Xenopus tropicalis: one gene and its partners. The protein of the gene in region 1 purifies or fractionates together with the protein of each later gene. This does not show direct contact. Links are inferred from orthologs where the notes say so. Each region holds a gene or a part of one and is shown on either strand. Other genes may lie near its edges.

The links.
Region 2: the proteins of max (region 1) and mnt purify together in Homo sapiens (affinity purification with mass spectrometry; 7 studies listed by BioGRID and IntAct, with this or other methods). This does not show direct contact. The link is inferred for Xenopus tropicalis from reciprocal best matches to the Homo sapiens genes MAX and MNT.
Region 3: the proteins of max (region 1) and sin3a purify together in Homo sapiens (affinity purification with mass spectrometry; 3 studies listed by BioGRID and IntAct, with this or other methods). This does not show direct contact. The link is inferred for Xenopus tropicalis from reciprocal best matches to the Homo sapiens genes MAX and SIN3A.
Region 4: the proteins of max (region 1) and l3mbtl2 purify together in Homo sapiens (affinity purification with mass spectrometry; 6 studies listed by BioGRID and IntAct, with this or other methods). This does not show direct contact. The link is inferred for Xenopus tropicalis from reciprocal best matches to the Homo sapiens genes MAX and L3MBTL2.

What each region holds. Positions count from the first base shown.
Region 1 is NC_030684.2:119,935,303-119,939,474, reverse strand, and holds the start of max (protein max), read right to left. Parts: upstream 2,801-4,172; 5' UTR 2,659-2,800; coding exon 2,623-2,658; intron 1-2,622. UniProt on the Homo sapiens protein: Transcription regulator. Forms a sequence-specific DNA-binding protein complex with MYC or MAD which recognizes the core sequence 5'-CAC[GA]TG-3'. The MYC:MAX complex is a transcriptional activator, whereas the MAD:MAX complex is a repressor.
Region 2 is NC_030678.2:47,696,934-47,701,211, reverse strand, and holds the start of mnt (max-binding protein MNT), read left to right. Parts: upstream 1-1,478; 5' UTR 1,479-1,739; coding exon 1,740-1,815; intron 1,816-4,278. UniProt on the Homo sapiens protein: Binds DNA as a heterodimer with MAX and represses transcription. Binds to the canonical E box sequence 5'-CACGTG-3' and, with higher affinity, to 5'-CACGCG-3'.
Region 3 is NC_030679.2:93,378,902-93,383,040, reverse strand, and holds the start of sin3a (paired amphipathic helix protein Sin3a), read right to left. Parts: upstream 2,801-4,139; 5' UTR 2,695-2,800; intron 1-2,694. UniProt on the Homo sapiens protein: Acts as a transcriptional repressor. Corepressor for REST. Interacts with MXI1 to repress MYC responsive genes and antagonize MYC oncogenic activities. Also interacts with MXD1-MAX heterodimers to repress transcription by tethering SIN3A to DNA.
Region 4 is NC_030680.2:116,015,020-116,019,285, reverse strand, and holds the start of l3mbtl2 (lethal(3)malignant brain tumor-like protein 2), read left to right. Parts: upstream 1-1,466; 5' UTR 1,467-1,569; intron 1,570-1,571; exon of another isoform or gene 1,572-1,589; intron 1,590-1,608; exon of another isoform or gene 1,609-1,798; intron 1,799-2,078; 5' UTR 2,079-2,111; coding exon 2,112-2,310; intron 2,311-4,266. UniProt on the Homo sapiens protein: Putative Polycomb group (PcG) protein. PcG proteins maintain the transcriptionally repressive state of genes, probably via a modification of chromatin, rendering it heritably changed in its expressibility.

The DNA.
Region 1 (4,172 bases):
TGCCATCCCACCGGCGATTTACATTTTTGCCAGTGGGATGGCATTTCAGGGAGATTAGTCGCCCATGAACAGGGAGATTTGTCACGGGCGACTAATCTCCCCGTGTGCCAGAGCCCTAATAGTACAAAGCCATGAACACTACTAGTATTCCAGGACAGCCTACTGCCTGGATGTGGTCCTTCTTAAAGGGGACATGATTACTCTGTACAAGTACATTAGAGGGGATTATAGGCAGATAGGGGATGTTCTTTTTTTCCCATAAAAACAATCAACGCACCAGAGGCCCCCGCTTTAGATTAGAGGAACGGAGCTTCCATTTGAAGCAGCGTAGGGGGTTTTTCACAGTGAGGGCAGTGAGGTTGGGGAATGCCCTTCCTAGTGATGTTGTAATGGCAGATTCTGTTAATGCCTATAAGAGGGGCCTGGATGAGTTCTTGAACAAGCATAGTATCAAACACTATTGTGACACTAATATCTACAGTTAGTATTAATGATTGTATCTATAGTTTATGTATGTGAGTGTATAGATTGGTAAGTATAGGTTGTGTGTGCTGGGTTTACTTGGAAGGGTTGAACTTGATGGACAATGGTCTTTTTTCAACCCTATGTAACTATGTAATATGAACAACTATGCCTAACATCACCATTTCCTACAATCTGATCCTCTCCAAAATATTTAATATCAAGGGTAATATAGAAAAAAATGGACAACAAACAAGCAAGCCTGTCTCACTGGGACACCAAACAACCAGTGGAGAAATGATGAAGCTCCGCCCGCCCCCCCCATGAGTCTGGCCAACAGAAATATATACAGACACCTGTTCATAGTATAACCTCTGGCTGTTACCCTTCCAAAATAATAGGGTATGCATACACGTTTGTTGCCCTTCACCGAGGTGTCTATCTTACCACCCTGCAGTTATTGTTGGATAGGTACCAACAACATAGAAAACAGGTCAGTAATAAAGGCACTAGTCCCAGAGTCCCATGCCCACCATACAGAGCAGGTATCATTACACATCTACTGGGGCTGCCTGGTGTGTATGCGATGTTTACACTAAGGGGCACATTCATCAAAGTACAATTGAGTGTGAATACAAAAAAAATTGTTTTAGAACTGTGCGTTTTTTTCGCAACTTTTTCGTACTTTCCAACAATTTGCACGACAAAATCGTATTTGTCGCAACGAGTACAAAAGTTTCATTATTCATTCAAGCTTCAATATCGTGACTTTCCTTGGGCCAGGTTGGAGCTGCAGAGTGCCATTGAGCCCTATGGGAGACTTTCCTTGGGTCGGGTTGGAGCTGCAGAGTGCCATTGAGCCCTATGGGAGACTTTCCTTGGGCCAGGTTGGAGCTGCAGAGTGCCATTGAGCCCTATGGGAGACTTTCCTTGGGCCGGGTTGGAGCTGCAGAGTGCCATTGAGCCCTATGGGAGACTTTCCTTGGGCCAGGTTGGAGCTGCAGAGTGCCATTGAGCCCTATGGGAGACTTTCCTTGGGCCGGGTTGGAGCTGCAGAGTGCCACTGAGGCCTATGGGAGACTTTCCTTGGGCCAGGTTGGAGCTGCAGGGTGCCATTGAGCCCTATGGGAGACTTGCCTTGGGCCGGGTTGGAGCTGCAGAGTGCCATTGAGCCCTATGGGAGACTTTCCTTGGGCCAGGTTGGAGCTGCAGAGTGCCATTGAGCCCTATGGGAGACTTTCCTTGGGCCGGGTTGGAGCTGCAGAGTGCCATTGAGCCCTATGGGAGACTTTCCTTGGGCCAGGTTGGAGCTGCAGAGTGCCATTGAGTCCTATGGGAGACTTCCAAAATCCTCCACTGAAGGGTCAAAGTCAGAAAGGTTTTTGAGCCGTTTACGATCGTACGGATACGAAAATTTCGTAACTTTTGCATCGTACCACGATATTTTCGCACAAGTACAACGCGACTCTTCGCAAAATTAACGCACATTAGAAATTTTTGTATTTAATGCGAATTGTCGCCAATTATACTCTTAATTTGTAATTTAATGTATCGGCCCCTATGTGTTGGTGAATGTGATAGGGACCTTAGATAGTAAGCTCCACTGGTGCCAGGCTGATATGAATGATGGGATACTTCAGTGCTATATAAATAACAATAAACCCCAGACTGATGAAGGTACCCTGGGCACTGAAGGAATGCTGGGGTCCTAGTATATAATAATATCATAATGGGGATATTGATTTAAGGACCCTCCAGCTGTTGGGCTGCAGCCCTCCCATCCCTGCCAGGGGAGATGCTAAGGATTGCAGAGCAGCTGGAGGGCCGGTGGATGCTACAAGTTATACTACATACAGTGCAGGAGGGATACAGAGTCCTAACAAATAAAACAAGATGCCCTGAGATACTGGAAGCCCAGGACAAATGCCCTCTCTCTGCCCTACCCGAAAACCTTCTCCGTATTGCTGAGGATGCTGGGATTTGTAGTGCAGCAGGACCTAGGCACACACAGAATAGGAAACACTGTTCCTGTTACAGCTAGAACCAAAAGCGGTGATCCCTGCTAAACAGACAGTTGCCCCCTCTCCAAGGGACAACACAGCCACCCCCGCCCCCACCCCATATAAAGCCAAGTTAAAGGGAAGCGGAACCCGCACTCACGTCGCTTTCCACCTCGATGTCATCGTTATCGCTCATGCTTTCCTATAGTGATGGGAAGGAGGGGAGAGGCTGCTCGGGCCTGAAAACAAACACTATGGGCAAAAAGAAAAAAAAAATAAAATCCGAATTAAGGGAGGGAGAGAGGGGGGGAAGAGACCCTCTCTGTGCCCAGGAAAACACACCAACGGAAGCCACACGTGACTCCACACTGCTAGGGATCATTAGCCAGAGCTCTAGCCTCTCAGAGAGCCGGCCCGCTGCATGCTGGGAAATGGAGTTCACTAGGGCCGGAAGCGCTCTGCCAGCTTATGCGCCTAAACACGGAAATTGACTACAACTCCCTTATAGCCTTGGGAGCAAACAAGCTTTACTGCGCAGGCGCGACGTTCCAGGCCGCTGATGGGATTTGTAGTCTACACAGGTAGCGGCTTCCCGGAAGTGGGCTGGAGACACGTGTATAGACGGGAAGCTGGGCGAGTTTGTGTTTGTGTGACTGGGCTGCTGTGGCGGCTACGGGCTTGTTGTGTAGTGACAAGGGAAGGGCCTGCGGGGGAGATGGGAGAGAGGCTTAGGGAAGTAGTGGGGCTTTTCATCTTCATCCGCTTTGGACTAATACAAACTGATATTATATCGTTTAGGGGTGTATCTCAAGTCGTAAGCGTATTTATGTATATCACATCTACAGTTTGGTTGTTCCGGGGGCAGAAATTATATGATGGGAAATGACGTTTTATGCCATTTCTAACAAAAAGATACCGACACCAAGCGTGTTGCTAACGAAGCAGATGCCATAGCAACCTTTTCGTGCACCTGTTGTCAGCTCGGCAGATATAGAGTATAGAAAAGCCCTGCGTGGTGCCTACTGTATTGTGTGAAATAGCTGAATAAAGCAAAAAAAAAAAAATACTACCCTTTACAAGCTTAGATTGTAAGCTCTACAGGCTTTCCTACTGTGCCTCATACCAAATGGTGCTTAATCTCTGTGTATATATACTTATTTGTTATGTTTTTTATAATATGTGCCTTCCCCGTGTGTACTGTTATATGATTGTACAGGTATTGGATCCATTTTCTGGAAACCTGTTATCCAGAAAGTTCCGAATTACGGAAAGGCCATCTCCCATAGATTCCATTTTAAACAAATGATTCTAATTTTTAGAAATGATTCCCTTTTCTCTGTAATAATAAAACAGTACCTGTACTTGATCCCAACTAAGATATAATTACCCCTTATTGGGGGCAGAACAGCCCTATTGGGTTTATTTAATGGTTAAATGATTCCCTTTTCTCTGTAATAATAAAACAGTACCTGTACTTGATCCCAACTAAGATATAATTAATCCTTTTGGATGGAAAACAATCCTAATGGATTTATTTCATGTTTAAATGACATTTTAGTAAACGTAAAGCATGGAGATCCAAACTACGGAAAGATCCCTTATCCGGAAGACCCAAGGTCCCGAGCATTCTGGATAACAGATCCCATACATGTACATCTCTCCACATTCCTGTAGCGCTTTATAAAGTTATACAAACGTACAGGCCCCTTG
Region 2 (4,278 bases), on another chromosome or scaffold:
TTGCCGAAAATATCAGCCCTACGCCTCGTGTGGCATCAGCCTAAGAGATCACACACAGACAGCTGTTAAAACTCTGTAGTCTGAAGCCTAATTGTATGAAACATCTAAGTGTGAGGGCAGCATGATTTCTTGCCTTAATAAAAATGCTTAGTTACCAGGGAAAAGCAATGTATAGCCCACTAGTTTCCATGGGATGCTTTTAATACCTGGAGAGTCATGTTGTTCTCCCCAAGAGCGTAATATTTTTATGATTATTATCCTTTATATGGTGCTGCCATATTTTGTAGTGCTTCACAGAGATTATACATCATCAGTTTCGGACTGGCCACAGGATACCAGGAAAACTCCCAGTGGGCCCAGGTGTCAGTCGGCCCTCCTACTCCTGACCATTCGGCTTGCTGCATGGTCATTCCCTATTTCTGAATGGGAACAAAGAGGAGAAATAGATGGAAGAATAGATGTTAGCATGTAAATAAAAGAGACTAGGAGAATAAAGAGGTTGGGTGAGGAAAGGAGGAAAAATAGTTTGGAGAGTGGGCCCCTGGGGGTCCGACACTGTACATCATTCCCTTCTGGGGTTGCCACCTGGCAGGGAAAAATGATGCTTGATCCCAATGTTATTCATAGGGCAGAAAGAAAAAACTATAGAAAGGCCAGTATTTTTTATTTTTTACAAAAGGATGCAGCCTTATTGCCATCAGTCCCTGTTCAAGTGGAGCTTACATTCTAGGTCCCTATAACAGGCTTACTATGGTTGAGTTTATCTGAAGCCAATTAACTTGCCTGCATTTGGAGACTGGAATACCCACAAATTCCTTGCAGACAGTCTCCTACCTGGAATTGAATCCAACTGTTTTTTTTCTGCCATAAATATGTAGGATTTAGTGGGAAATCTAGATTGAGGTGACTGTTCCCTATTTAATAAGGTGGCCATACATGTTAAGATCTTATCCCGATATGCCCACCCAAGGTGGGTGATATTGGGCGGATTACAATGACGCACATAGGCACCATCAGAGCGAAAACCACAATAGTGAGCAGATGCGGTACCCAATCCAACAGGAAAATCAAACCTGCCTGATCGGCACCTGGCCACTTTTCAGCCAGATATTGGGGGGGGGGACCCCATACATGGGTAGATAAGCTGTCAAATTAGTCTAAAGGACTTAAATCTGCAGCTTAAATCTGCCAGTGTATGGCCACCTTTAAGGTGTCTCCATGTCACAACGCAAAATCACAAGTTCCACAGAAATCAATAGCTGTTCTTATGGCACTGGCAGCCTTTTGGCTGCTTAGTCAGTCCGTCCCCTTCAGGTTCCTGCGCAGCAGAGCAGGGTGTGATTCCTGCTAGTGAGCAGAAAGCAAAAGCCCCACATCCTCCTCCTCCTCCTCCTCCCTGTGAGTCACACGCCAGGGCCAGTGCGTCCGCACTCCGGCTTTTCCCTCTGCCCGAGAGTAGCTGAGGGCTCTGTGAGTCCCTTTTTTCTTGTTGTGTTTCTGTTACTCATCGCCATCTTGTTGCAACCCTTTTCTTGTCTGGAGGATCCGTGGGGGGGAACCTGGGTTGGATTTTTTTTCCATTGCATTTCATTTATTCAGTCATATTTCCCCCGACACAGGGAGGGTGAGGAGATCCGCGCAGCCATCCTCCGCTTCTGGATCTTTTTATTTTGACGGACTGGGGGGAGATACAATTAAAGCGGAAGATTTTAGGGGATCACTGTGGAAGCTGCTGAGAAATGAGCCTGGAGACACTGTTGCAAGCAGCCCTGTTCCTGGAATGGCAATCCCAGCAGCAACAGCAGAGAACACGTGGTAAGGAAGCTTTTTGGGGGCCCTGGGGCAAAATGATGGGCTGTAGCCGGGCTGGCAGGGGAGATCGGTACAAGGTGGGAGCATTTTATGATCATGGAAGTGTTCTTTAAGAAGCATCATTATGGTTTATCCGTCACACTCCAGCTGCTGCTAAACTACACCTCCCATCATCCTCCAGTAGACTCCTACTGCTAGAAGATGCTTAGGGGTTGTATTCGGCAGTATCTGGGGTGTCACTGTGCATTTTGAGATACTATTGGTGCTGAGTGTGTAAGCTGTTCAGTTTGAGGGACTAAAACATGACTGCGCGTTATTGCCCAGGATTATGCAGCGTTAACGCTCGGTATGTGAGCTGTTTCACAAAATCTCTGTGGCTGACCGGCTTGGGGAATAAATTTCCCCCTTTGGGTCTGAGTCTTAGCTTGTCCAGTATCAGGGCGGTGGCAATCCTCCAGCAGCAGCCTTTGCTAATACCCTGACATGGCCTGTCATATGACTTCCCGCAGCGCCGCCCCTTAACCTCTTCAGCGCCAGCAGCGCTCACACTTCAGGAGCTTCTCGCGTATTCTTGCGTCCAGATTACATGTTACCGCTATTATTCTTTTTGTGTGGGCTATACTAATACGAATTGGTGATTTCCCTGCTGGTTCTATTGCCTGGGAGTGGGGCTTCGGTTTTAGAAGGCTGGCAGCCCTCGGGTTACTGTGTGAAGGTGACGTGTCAGGCGCCGCCCCTCCCCCCACGTGCAGTGAGGACACTCCCGCATAGAGAGAGGGGGGGGGCTGAGCGGGACAGAGAGGCAGACAGGGCGGCGGGGGGAGTGGCGAGGAGGGACTGCACGCACATAGCATGACCCATGGCGTTCACACCCTGCTGGGAAGAGGAAAAAACAATCTCATAGGCGGGGGAGCCGCAGGTTACAGATGTACGTACCTCTCGGCGCACCTCCTGCCCCCGCCATAGCGCTGCAAATACTCCCACCCCGGGGAGGCTGCGCTTCTAAGCACTAACCCTTCACTTTGCCTTTAATGTCACGTTAATAATGGCCTGGTTATTCTCTGTGGCCTTTAGTAATATGCAGTTATTCTCTGAGTAAGGAGGTGGGCATTTTGGCAGAGCCGCCCATTTTAGGACAGAGTCTAGTGGTTTGTGTGTGAGGTGCCTATGGCATCTGTAGTTTGCCCATGCCCAAATAACACCATTACATTGCAGGCTAGAGCATTGGCTAATGGCTAGGCACTAGGGAGGAAAGGCTTGATATAATGTGTAACATATCCTTTCCATGGGGTTTCTGATTCCCAGCATAGAGTCTGTACTGACACCTGGAGAGAGCAGCTGCACCTGTAGAGGGAGGCCATGGGGCGGCTAGCGCAGCTACACACCAAGCTTTGTATTTCCCACATGGGGGCTGGTTTGTTTTCTACCTACATTCTTTATAGTGCATTCATTTGCCTGTGATGTGCAGCGTTACGTTCATTTACACCCTGCAGTGCTGACTGGAGCACAAGCTGCTAATTCTCTGTCTGGCCTTTGTGCCTTTTCAGCTATGCCTGGGAGAATATGGCTATTTGTTATTCCAGGGGCAGCAGCAATGAGTATTTTACTTTAATGACACCATCCTCCTTTATTCAGTGCTACACAGAATATTGTAGGTTACATATATTTGAAAGATAAACAAATACACAACACTAAAACTGTGGCATACTGCATACATGTGATTATTGTCTCACATTGTACTACTGGTTATCACACTAAAGCTGGCTGGGGAAAATACCAGGAAGTTTCAACTTGCTAATGTCACTTTTGGCTCCGCCCCTTTGTCATCTGTAATATATTAATATACATGGCATGATCCCTATGCCCCTGTAAAAGTGTCTATTGATTACCATTGATCGAAAAGGCAGTAATGGACAAATTAAAAATGAAAGTGCAAGGAGTTGTAGCAGTGCAAGCAATCAGGATACCCATGATAATAATTAGAATCACCAGGAGGTGCCAAACATATTGACTCTCCCACTGTCATTTTACCTTAACATTTTACTCCTTGTTGGGGTCAGTATGTACCAGATTTTCCCCATTGTTCTGCTCTGATTTTGGCTCATATATGTTCACTCTGGGTTGGGCAGGTTACTTGTATAATGCCTCAATTTTGAAATAGTGCCTTTCTATAAAATAGGTTTTCTGTTTATAATTAATCTAATTGGTCTAATAATGTATTTTAGCAAGGGTTTACTTAAGGTAACTTCAAGGGCAACAATTCCTAAAATGGTTTCCTTTATTGCAGCTGAGGGCTGCACTCCAGATGGGGAAAACTGTACTATAAGTTCAAAGGTGCACCTCCCCACCAAGTATTTTGGTGGCCCACATGGGGTGCCTACTCAAAGGGCAGATGGCCAACCTGGGGCACACAGGACAAGTGTACCAGGGCACTTGGTTAATTTACACATACGCATGAGATGGAAT
Region 3 (4,139 bases), on another chromosome or scaffold:
GCCTGATTTCGACCACACTACCAAATAAATTTATATGGCTAGTTGCCATTCAGGCACATAATCCTGATGAGTTGAGGATTACCAATCCATCAGAAACATTTTTACTAGTCAAGTAAAAAGAGAATCTGCAGATTTTCTTTACTTCTTTCTGCTGTCATCATTTGGCCCAAACTTGCAGATATATACAGAGGTGGCCATGGATGTATGGCCACCTTAACAACCTAACCAACTTAGTATAAAGGAATGCCTAAACCCTCCTGGGAAAGGGAGTTACGCAAAAATGCAATATTGACAGTGCCGTTTTTGTACACGACAAAGTGAAATTAACATCTGTTTTATGAATTCCCTACCAATTTCTTGCACATGGCCTCTTGATTTCCTGGGTTATGTGACACTTTTTAAAAACTGATTAAGAACTGGGTATAAAACAGTTCTGATGTATGTTTTCTATGCACTCCATAATTTGTTTGTATGAGCTGATCTAATCTCACAGCATGTTGATGGATGTCATGTATAATTAGATTATAGATGTGCATGAAGCAAGTTTATGTAGGGATTAATGCAGTCTCTTTTGTAAAACAGGAGTTCCATACCCTTTTAAAAGGCGCAATATAACAGGTTAAAGTTGTGTTTCTATAGTCATAAAACGTAAATGTTATTTCAAATGTACTTTTTTTTAAAGAAAAATTGTATTTCTTAAAAATGTGTATGACCAATTATAACTAATGCCACTATTTATAAGAATATACACTGATTTTCTATATCTGTAACCTTGTTGTGACCTGATGGGGACCTGTCTAAATTGTTCTATTATTGTGTTGTCCTACTGTACAGCACAGCATGCACAAGCAGTGCAGTGTAAATATACATACAAGTTCACATTATTAGGGTTTACATCTTCCACCAGACATTTCAAATTTTTTTTTTCTTTAACACTATAGTATGACATTTTTAATCATAATTGCGACATCCCAAGGGCATTAGGTCCATAGAAAGGCACAGCAGCATTTATAATGTTTCAGTATGCCATTCATGAGTTGGAGTTGTTATATTCCTAAAATAAACGTAGTAAAATGTCTATAGCCTATGATAAAGCAATGCTGCCTGGTGCTGACTAATCAAAAGTGTGATGTTTCATAGCCAAGATGCAAACCTTTCTCTCTCGTACTTAGCACACACAAAACTTGATGTCAGATTGCAGAATTGCCTCTAAATCAAGGATAAGCTACCATTAGGGTTCCGACCACAGTGTCTATACTGTTTTCACACATTGTATTAATCAAAAAATGTTTGGAGACAAATAAGACGATAAACGTATATGAAACTTAAGGCTACATTTCTGGGGAGGAGTATAAGAAGAGCAGCCTCATTGTCCTCAGCTCCGCCCCTTGGCTAACGTCGGCCCATAAAGTAAAGCTTATTGGACAGCACTTCCGGGTACAACACAACTAGCCAACCATTGCCTGCTATCAGCTTCCGCTTCCTATGACCAGGAGTGACCAGCAATATGCACGCCCTACCAATAGTGTTAAGCCACGCCTTACACGGAAGAGAACACGGAGTCGATGCCTAGTGCCAGCGAATAAGGGCGGTGCAATCACTCTGCCCAATGAAAATACAGGATGCCTAGGTACTGGAGAGGGCCAATAGCGTTTAGATAGGGCGGGGCCAAAAAGGATAAAGCTGAGGCACGTACCATCTCAGAATTATTAAGCGCGTTAGGAAGGGAGAGAGTAGAGGTTTTAGCGTGAGTGATAGCGGCTAGTTTTCGTTATGCGTGCAGAAGGCAATTAAATTTAATAGTACATTGACCAGAAGACATGGAACAGTGTAGTGTAAGGCAGGCTATTTAGGAGCCGCTTCCACATAGCGCGGCTGTTCAGGGGTGTTTTCTGCTGCCTCCCAGACAATACAGTCACCTAACTGCAATGAAGCACCACCCCCCAAACCCCATGTCTATACTCCTATTAATCTCATGCAAAAACCGAGCTCACATTTTCCCAAAATTTGGTCTCGTGTGATATTCGGGGAGAAATAAACTTAAAGGCACAAATGATTTAAGCGTCAGCGTTGAACCTCCGCCTTCCATCAATCGCTGTAGGTCCCCCAAACCCCAGCACCACGAACTGCGTTAACCCCCCACCCCCCAAAAAAACCTAAGGTCATTTTAAGAACATAAGGGATCCCTAATTCTTCCCTCTCAGACAGGACAAACCAGCCTTTGCCCATGCCAACTGACTGGGCAGTAACAGCCCAGCTGGCTCGGGTGCATAACATTTGTCCCAGTCTCAGCCCTACTCCATCTATCCATCTCCCGGCCTGGCGGTCATCTCTATACAGATGAGAGCATATTGGCAGGCATATTTGGACAGGTAGCCACATGGCCACCATCGATTCCCCTAGGGCAGGGATCTCGCCACCCACAGCTATTAGGCAGCAAACTCTCGCGTGGCTCTGGGGATTCCAGTCCAACAGCAGCTGTTTAGGCGCAGGTTGGAGAACGGTGCCACGGGGGAATGTGTATCCGGACACCCTGTACATACGAGGTGCAGCACGGCTGGACTCGTAACTCGCCGCCTGACCCCATCTGCGAAAAGGCAAGCACTTCGATGTGTCCCACTGGCCTTACTACAACCCCAGCGCCCCAGTCCAAACAAAGAATGGCTCCCTTTAGGATAAACAAGAGGCACATACCTTCCAGAAATAAATATACGGCCACACCAAGTCAGGGACTCTATGCTAGGATAGATACACCCCCCCCGTTTTTTTCCAAGACTCCTAGTTCTAGTCCAGCCCCCTACAGAAAAGAGGGTGGGTGTGTACCATAGAAAACCTTAGAGGGGAGGGGAACTCATTTAAACTCGACCCCGCCTTCTTGCCATATAGAGACAGCGCTCCGTCATGGGGGCTTAGCCACCCGCCCCCTTGAAGGGCACGTCCCATTTGGCTCTGGTGCTGTTTGTTCTCTCCTTCCTTACTAAGGCTTGTAGAGTCTAATGTTAATTTTGTAGTGTTACTCGCGGCCCTCAAGCTGACTTAGAACTCTTATCAGATTCAATGACCGCTGTATTTGTTTCATAAGTAGTAGGGCTCTGTTGGGCGGGAGGTTGTGAGAGACCGCGGCTACAGCGCGCATCCCAAATATGTTTATGTGACAGGTGCGCGTAATGATTTTGGACGACAAGAGCGAAATTATAGGAATATGGAGGGGCTGAATGTGCACAGTAACGACATACCTCAAATCAATATAGAATTTTTTTAAAAAACTACAACGTCCAAAATGCATTGCAGGTACGACACAAAAGATATCGCCCACAATGCACTGCTTTTTAATACTTACATAGATGAAAACTATGGAACCCAGAATGCTGTGCGGTGCTTGAATCGCGGAATAGGAAACGTTTGTCGGATGGTGCAGAGCGAGCGGAAAAGGTCTAGGTTTTTAATAGCCCAGAAAACATATGGAAAGAGGCATAACAATATTGACAGATTATTATTTTGTGTTCTTTCATATTGTCTGCCCTGCACCTTATATGTGGAATAGAATATATAGCGCTGCACTGCTTTGTCTCTGCAACTGACTGTAATATATTGTAAGTTTTCTTAGCCATAGATTGTAAGCTGTACAGAACAGGAATCTCCATACTCTTGTCTCTTTGTTACTTAGCTCTGTGACATATTTACTACAGCTGTACTTTATTAGTATTAATCGTACTTTGTATTTATTGACCTATTATTGTAATGACCCCCTTGTTTGTTTTAATTAAATTATTTTTCTTCTATTCATCGCTGTATACATACATAACACATGTTTGTGTTAATTAAAAAAAAAAAAGAAACCAAGATAAAATCTGTAAGAACTTATTCCACCTTTTTTTACAAAATTGTGATCTGTACAAAGAAGTTGAAAACAAATCAACAGTTTAGTGAAACAAATCATACAAAACCTGGTTGCATTAGTGCGCACCCCCTAAACTAATAACTTGGTTGAAGCACCTTTTGATTTTATTAACAGCACTCAGTCTTTTTGGGTCCATCTGTTTGGCACATTGAGACTTTGCAAGGTTTGCCGACTCCTCTTTGCTAACATTTTCCAGATCTGTCAAATTGTGAGGGCATCTGTGCACCGCTGTCTTCAG
Region 4 (4,266 bases), on another chromosome or scaffold:
GCAAGCGCATCCCTCTGTGCCGGATAGTTCCATGAATGTCCCGCAATGCGGGACATTCATGGAACTATCCGGGACAGCGGGATGCGCCATAAAAAGCGGGACTGTCCCGCGAAAAGCGGGACAGTTGGGGGGTATGCTATATTAGAAACATTTTTGATTTACCCAGTTTTACTTTTACACAGAACTGTTCCTTTAAGGTCCCTAAAATCTGGCCAGAGCAGAGCCTTGTATGCAAAGTTAAGGTGGAATTACTAGTTAAGATGACGCCACAAATTTCTCATTCCAAACTTCCACCCTCACATTACTGATACGCCCCAAACTGTGTAGTCACATGGCTGATAGTGAGTGCTTGCACACCACAGACCCAGGATATTTATGGTATAGAAGACATAATGAAGATTCTGTGAATAACATGATGAGGACCCAGCTGAAAATTTTGTTGCATGCATGGAAAAATATTTACCTATAATGCAATGTTTTTAGTTCAAATTGCCATAATCCCTTCTTTGTGGCTGCAAAAAAAAAAGCATAATTATGGGTAACAGCTTCTGTAATAAACTAGGAAAACCCCTGCCAGCACTGGTCCCTTTAAAGGAACAGTAACACCAAAATATGAAAGTGTATAAAAGTAACTAAAATATAATGTGCTGCTGCCCTGCACTGGTAAAAGTTGTGTGTTTGCTTCAGAAAGTCTACTATAATTTATATAAATAAGCTGCTGTGTAGCCCTGGGGGCAGCCATTCAAGCTGGAAAAAAGGAGAAAAGGCACAGGTTACATAACAGATAACAGATAAAACACTTTTGTATTCTACAGAACTTATCTGTTATCTGCTATGTAACCTGTGCCTTTTCTCCTTTTCTCCAGCTTGAATGGCTGCCCCCGTGGCTACACAGCAGCTTATTATATAAATTATAGTAGTGTTACTGTAGCAAACGCCCCAGTTTTACCAGTGAAGGGCAACAGTGCATTATATTTTTATTACTTTAAAGCTCTTTCATTTTTTAGTGTTACTGTTCCTTTAAGAGCCCCAGAACCTTCTGCTACTGAACTTATCGGTGCACATTATTTAGCACTAAAGAAACTTATTACTTTTGGTCAATTTTACCCTAAATTAATTCTGCACAAAAATATATAAACGTGCAAAAGCTGGAAAATGATCAACTTCACCCTGACCTTAGTTTGCACCAATTTGTTTTTTTCCTTTTTTTGATCAAATGGGGAGAAAGCACTCTGATGGCAGAGAGACTATTAGCAACCAGGATAAAGTCATTTTTAAGTTCCCGAGCACAAGTCAAAGCTTAGAAATGATAAATGACTTCTGAGGAAATATTGGGAGCTGAGGTGGAGGAGAGCACGGCGGGTAACTAACAAAAAGAATGAAGTAATTACAAAAGCAGGAAGTGCAAGCAGATGAAAAACACATTGCGGGCAACTAGCCGCTTCTATTTATGCTACGCGGTGCGTCATTACGCTTGCGTGCAGTTGTGACGCCGAATATCGCGAGATTTGTGGAGTCGGGATTTTGTGAGAGATTGTGGGATGAGGCTTGTAGTGAGCAGCTGCAGGAGTAAGTAGCGAACTGGGACTGTGAGTTGTGTCAGGGAAAGCGGACTGTTGGGCACTCGCATTAACTGGGATTAGAGGGTGTAGTATGGGAAAAATAGATTTTCTTGTTTTTATACACATTAAAATAAGACATCATCTCCCTTATTCTTGTTAAATAGAGAGTAGCACTCGTATCTGCATGGCACAATGTTATACTTTGTCAGCCATAGATTTAAACAAGAAATTGTTGGGTAGGTGTAACCTTTTATTGGCTAATGTAATAGATTATAAAATACATTTTCTAACCTACTAAATTAACCAATCAACCTTATATGTTCTACTTAGCAGAGCGTCAGCCAATGGGAAATGAGTAGGCTTGACTGTCACTGAGAGCATTTTTTGTTCTAGTACAATAAAACATGATTAATTGGGATATCTGGATTATAGAATTTGTATGACATTTGGTGTTTGTGGTAAATGATATCATTTGTTTTGCTGAGAGTGATGGTGATTGCCATTAACTGTTCACAGATTGGCTCATCCCGGCACCTTGAGGATCTTTCAATGGAAGGCGATTCAGAAGATGTTTATGATCTTTTCAGTGGCTATGACAGTTACAGAGAATATAGCAGTGGACTTAGTGATATCAGTTCTGGTCTTGGGGATTCAAGTTTAGATGAAGAGGAAAATGAAGGGTCTTCATCACTGCAGCAATCATCTTCTAGCGCTAACAAGGCCAATGAGGAGAATAGTGCTGAACCAGGTACATACATTTGATTATGAAAGATTACACTGCAGTTTTGGAAGGTCTTTATAATGGCCTTATAGCAAAAAATATGTCAGCATTTTGTTTTTTGATCAACAATAAAAAGCCTTCCATTAAATATATTTAAGTACCAAACAACTAGGTCATTTTGACTAGGCCACTACTAGTTGTTGGCTTATGATCTCTTTCATTGAGTAGTCTGTACCAAAGGAATGCCAATTTTTCCAATTTTCGCTAAAAAATGAAAGTGTACTAAATTATTATGTAATATTGCCCTGCACCAATTTTACCTTTAAACTGCGAGATAGTGTGTGTGCACACATTCTGAGCCAACACACACAACAAATTGTAACAGGTCTGGTCTGGGAGTTGAAATAGGCGCTGACATTTCAACTACTCAGAAGCCCAAACAGCTCCCCCACCAGCTCAATAAATAGTGACTGTCTATGGCATCTTACATTAGCCCCTCTGGCGATTGCCATTTCAGGCCTGCCATGCACACAAAGAATTTATTCTGACCTGAGCACTGCACTGCATGTTTAAATAAGTGCATATAAGTTTAAAATGTACCCACAAAATAATGTTTTTGTGCACATAGCCAAAAAGGAAATAGTGAACATTGCCCTGCACCGGAAAGGTCGTGTGTTTGCTTCAGAAACATTACTATAGTTTATATGAACTAAGCTGCTGTGTAGCCATGGTGGTAGCTGTTCAAATTGAAAAAGGGATAAATGGTGCAGATTACATAACAGATAACAGATAAGCTCAGTAAAACACTGTTGTACTCTACAGAGCTCATTTGTTATTTGCTATGTAACCTGTGCCCTTTCTCCTTTTCTACAGTCTGAATGGCTGCCCCCATGGCTACAGAACATCTTTGTTTATATAAACTATAAGTGTTTCTGAAACACAGCTGAAACACACAACTGTTACCAGTGCAGTAGTACATAATATCTTAATTATTCTGGTACAATTTCATTTTTGGTGTTACTGTCCCAGTTCTCCAAGACAGAAAGAGCAAAAGGCGTTTTGTTTTATCATGGTTCTTACTGAAAGGAAATTGACTACTGAAGAGATCCCTACCCTAAAGCTGGCCACACACGTGGCGATTTTTGATCTTTCGTGCGACCATCGGTCACACAAAAGATTGTTCCAACCCTCCACTGACGTTCAGGGATGAATTGTCAGATATGGAGGTAGAAACAATAGGATTTCTACCTCCTTCTGCCGATTCAGCCCTGAACATAGATTTTGCTCGGGTGCCTTCAGTGGCACCCAATCAAAATCCTCTAACCCATCCAATCGGCGAGTTGAACGATATCAGCAGCCTCCTGCGATATCAGTCGCCTCGCTGACTTGCCATGCACCGAACGATATTATCGGTGCGTGTATAGCCACCTCCTGTCTCAGCCTCAAAAGAATCACAGAGCCCGTGGATGCCAGACATCGGCTGCTAACCTACTTCAACATGAAAGCAGGGTACCATTGTATTTAATTTGAATGTTATTAGGGTTGTGGTGGGGGGTAGGGCATTTTAAAGACATTGTTGCTTTGTTATTAAAGCTTTGCATGTTTTAAAGTGATGGCTGTTTTATATAACTGTGCTTGCCTTAAGGATTCTGGTTACAATGAAGTTCACACATATATTTGTATTGCTAGGAAACTGTAGGAGCTGGGTGTGTTCCTTAAAGAAATTGTTTATAACATTTAAAAAAAATCCTTGGTCTGATTATGTATGAATTAGAGCCAGCAATTACTAAGGAGTCACATTTGCAGGTTTGAGATCAGTCCATGATAGTTGCTGTGTGTATTACAGTGTGCCCACTGTGACTGCGCACTGTGCACCATTGCACTGTCAGCTTGGATCAGCATACATATGCTCTATTTACAGGCTGAGGGATACTATTGTAACTGAAGGGATCAGACAGTGAGTCTGGCTGTGAATGAGCCTTG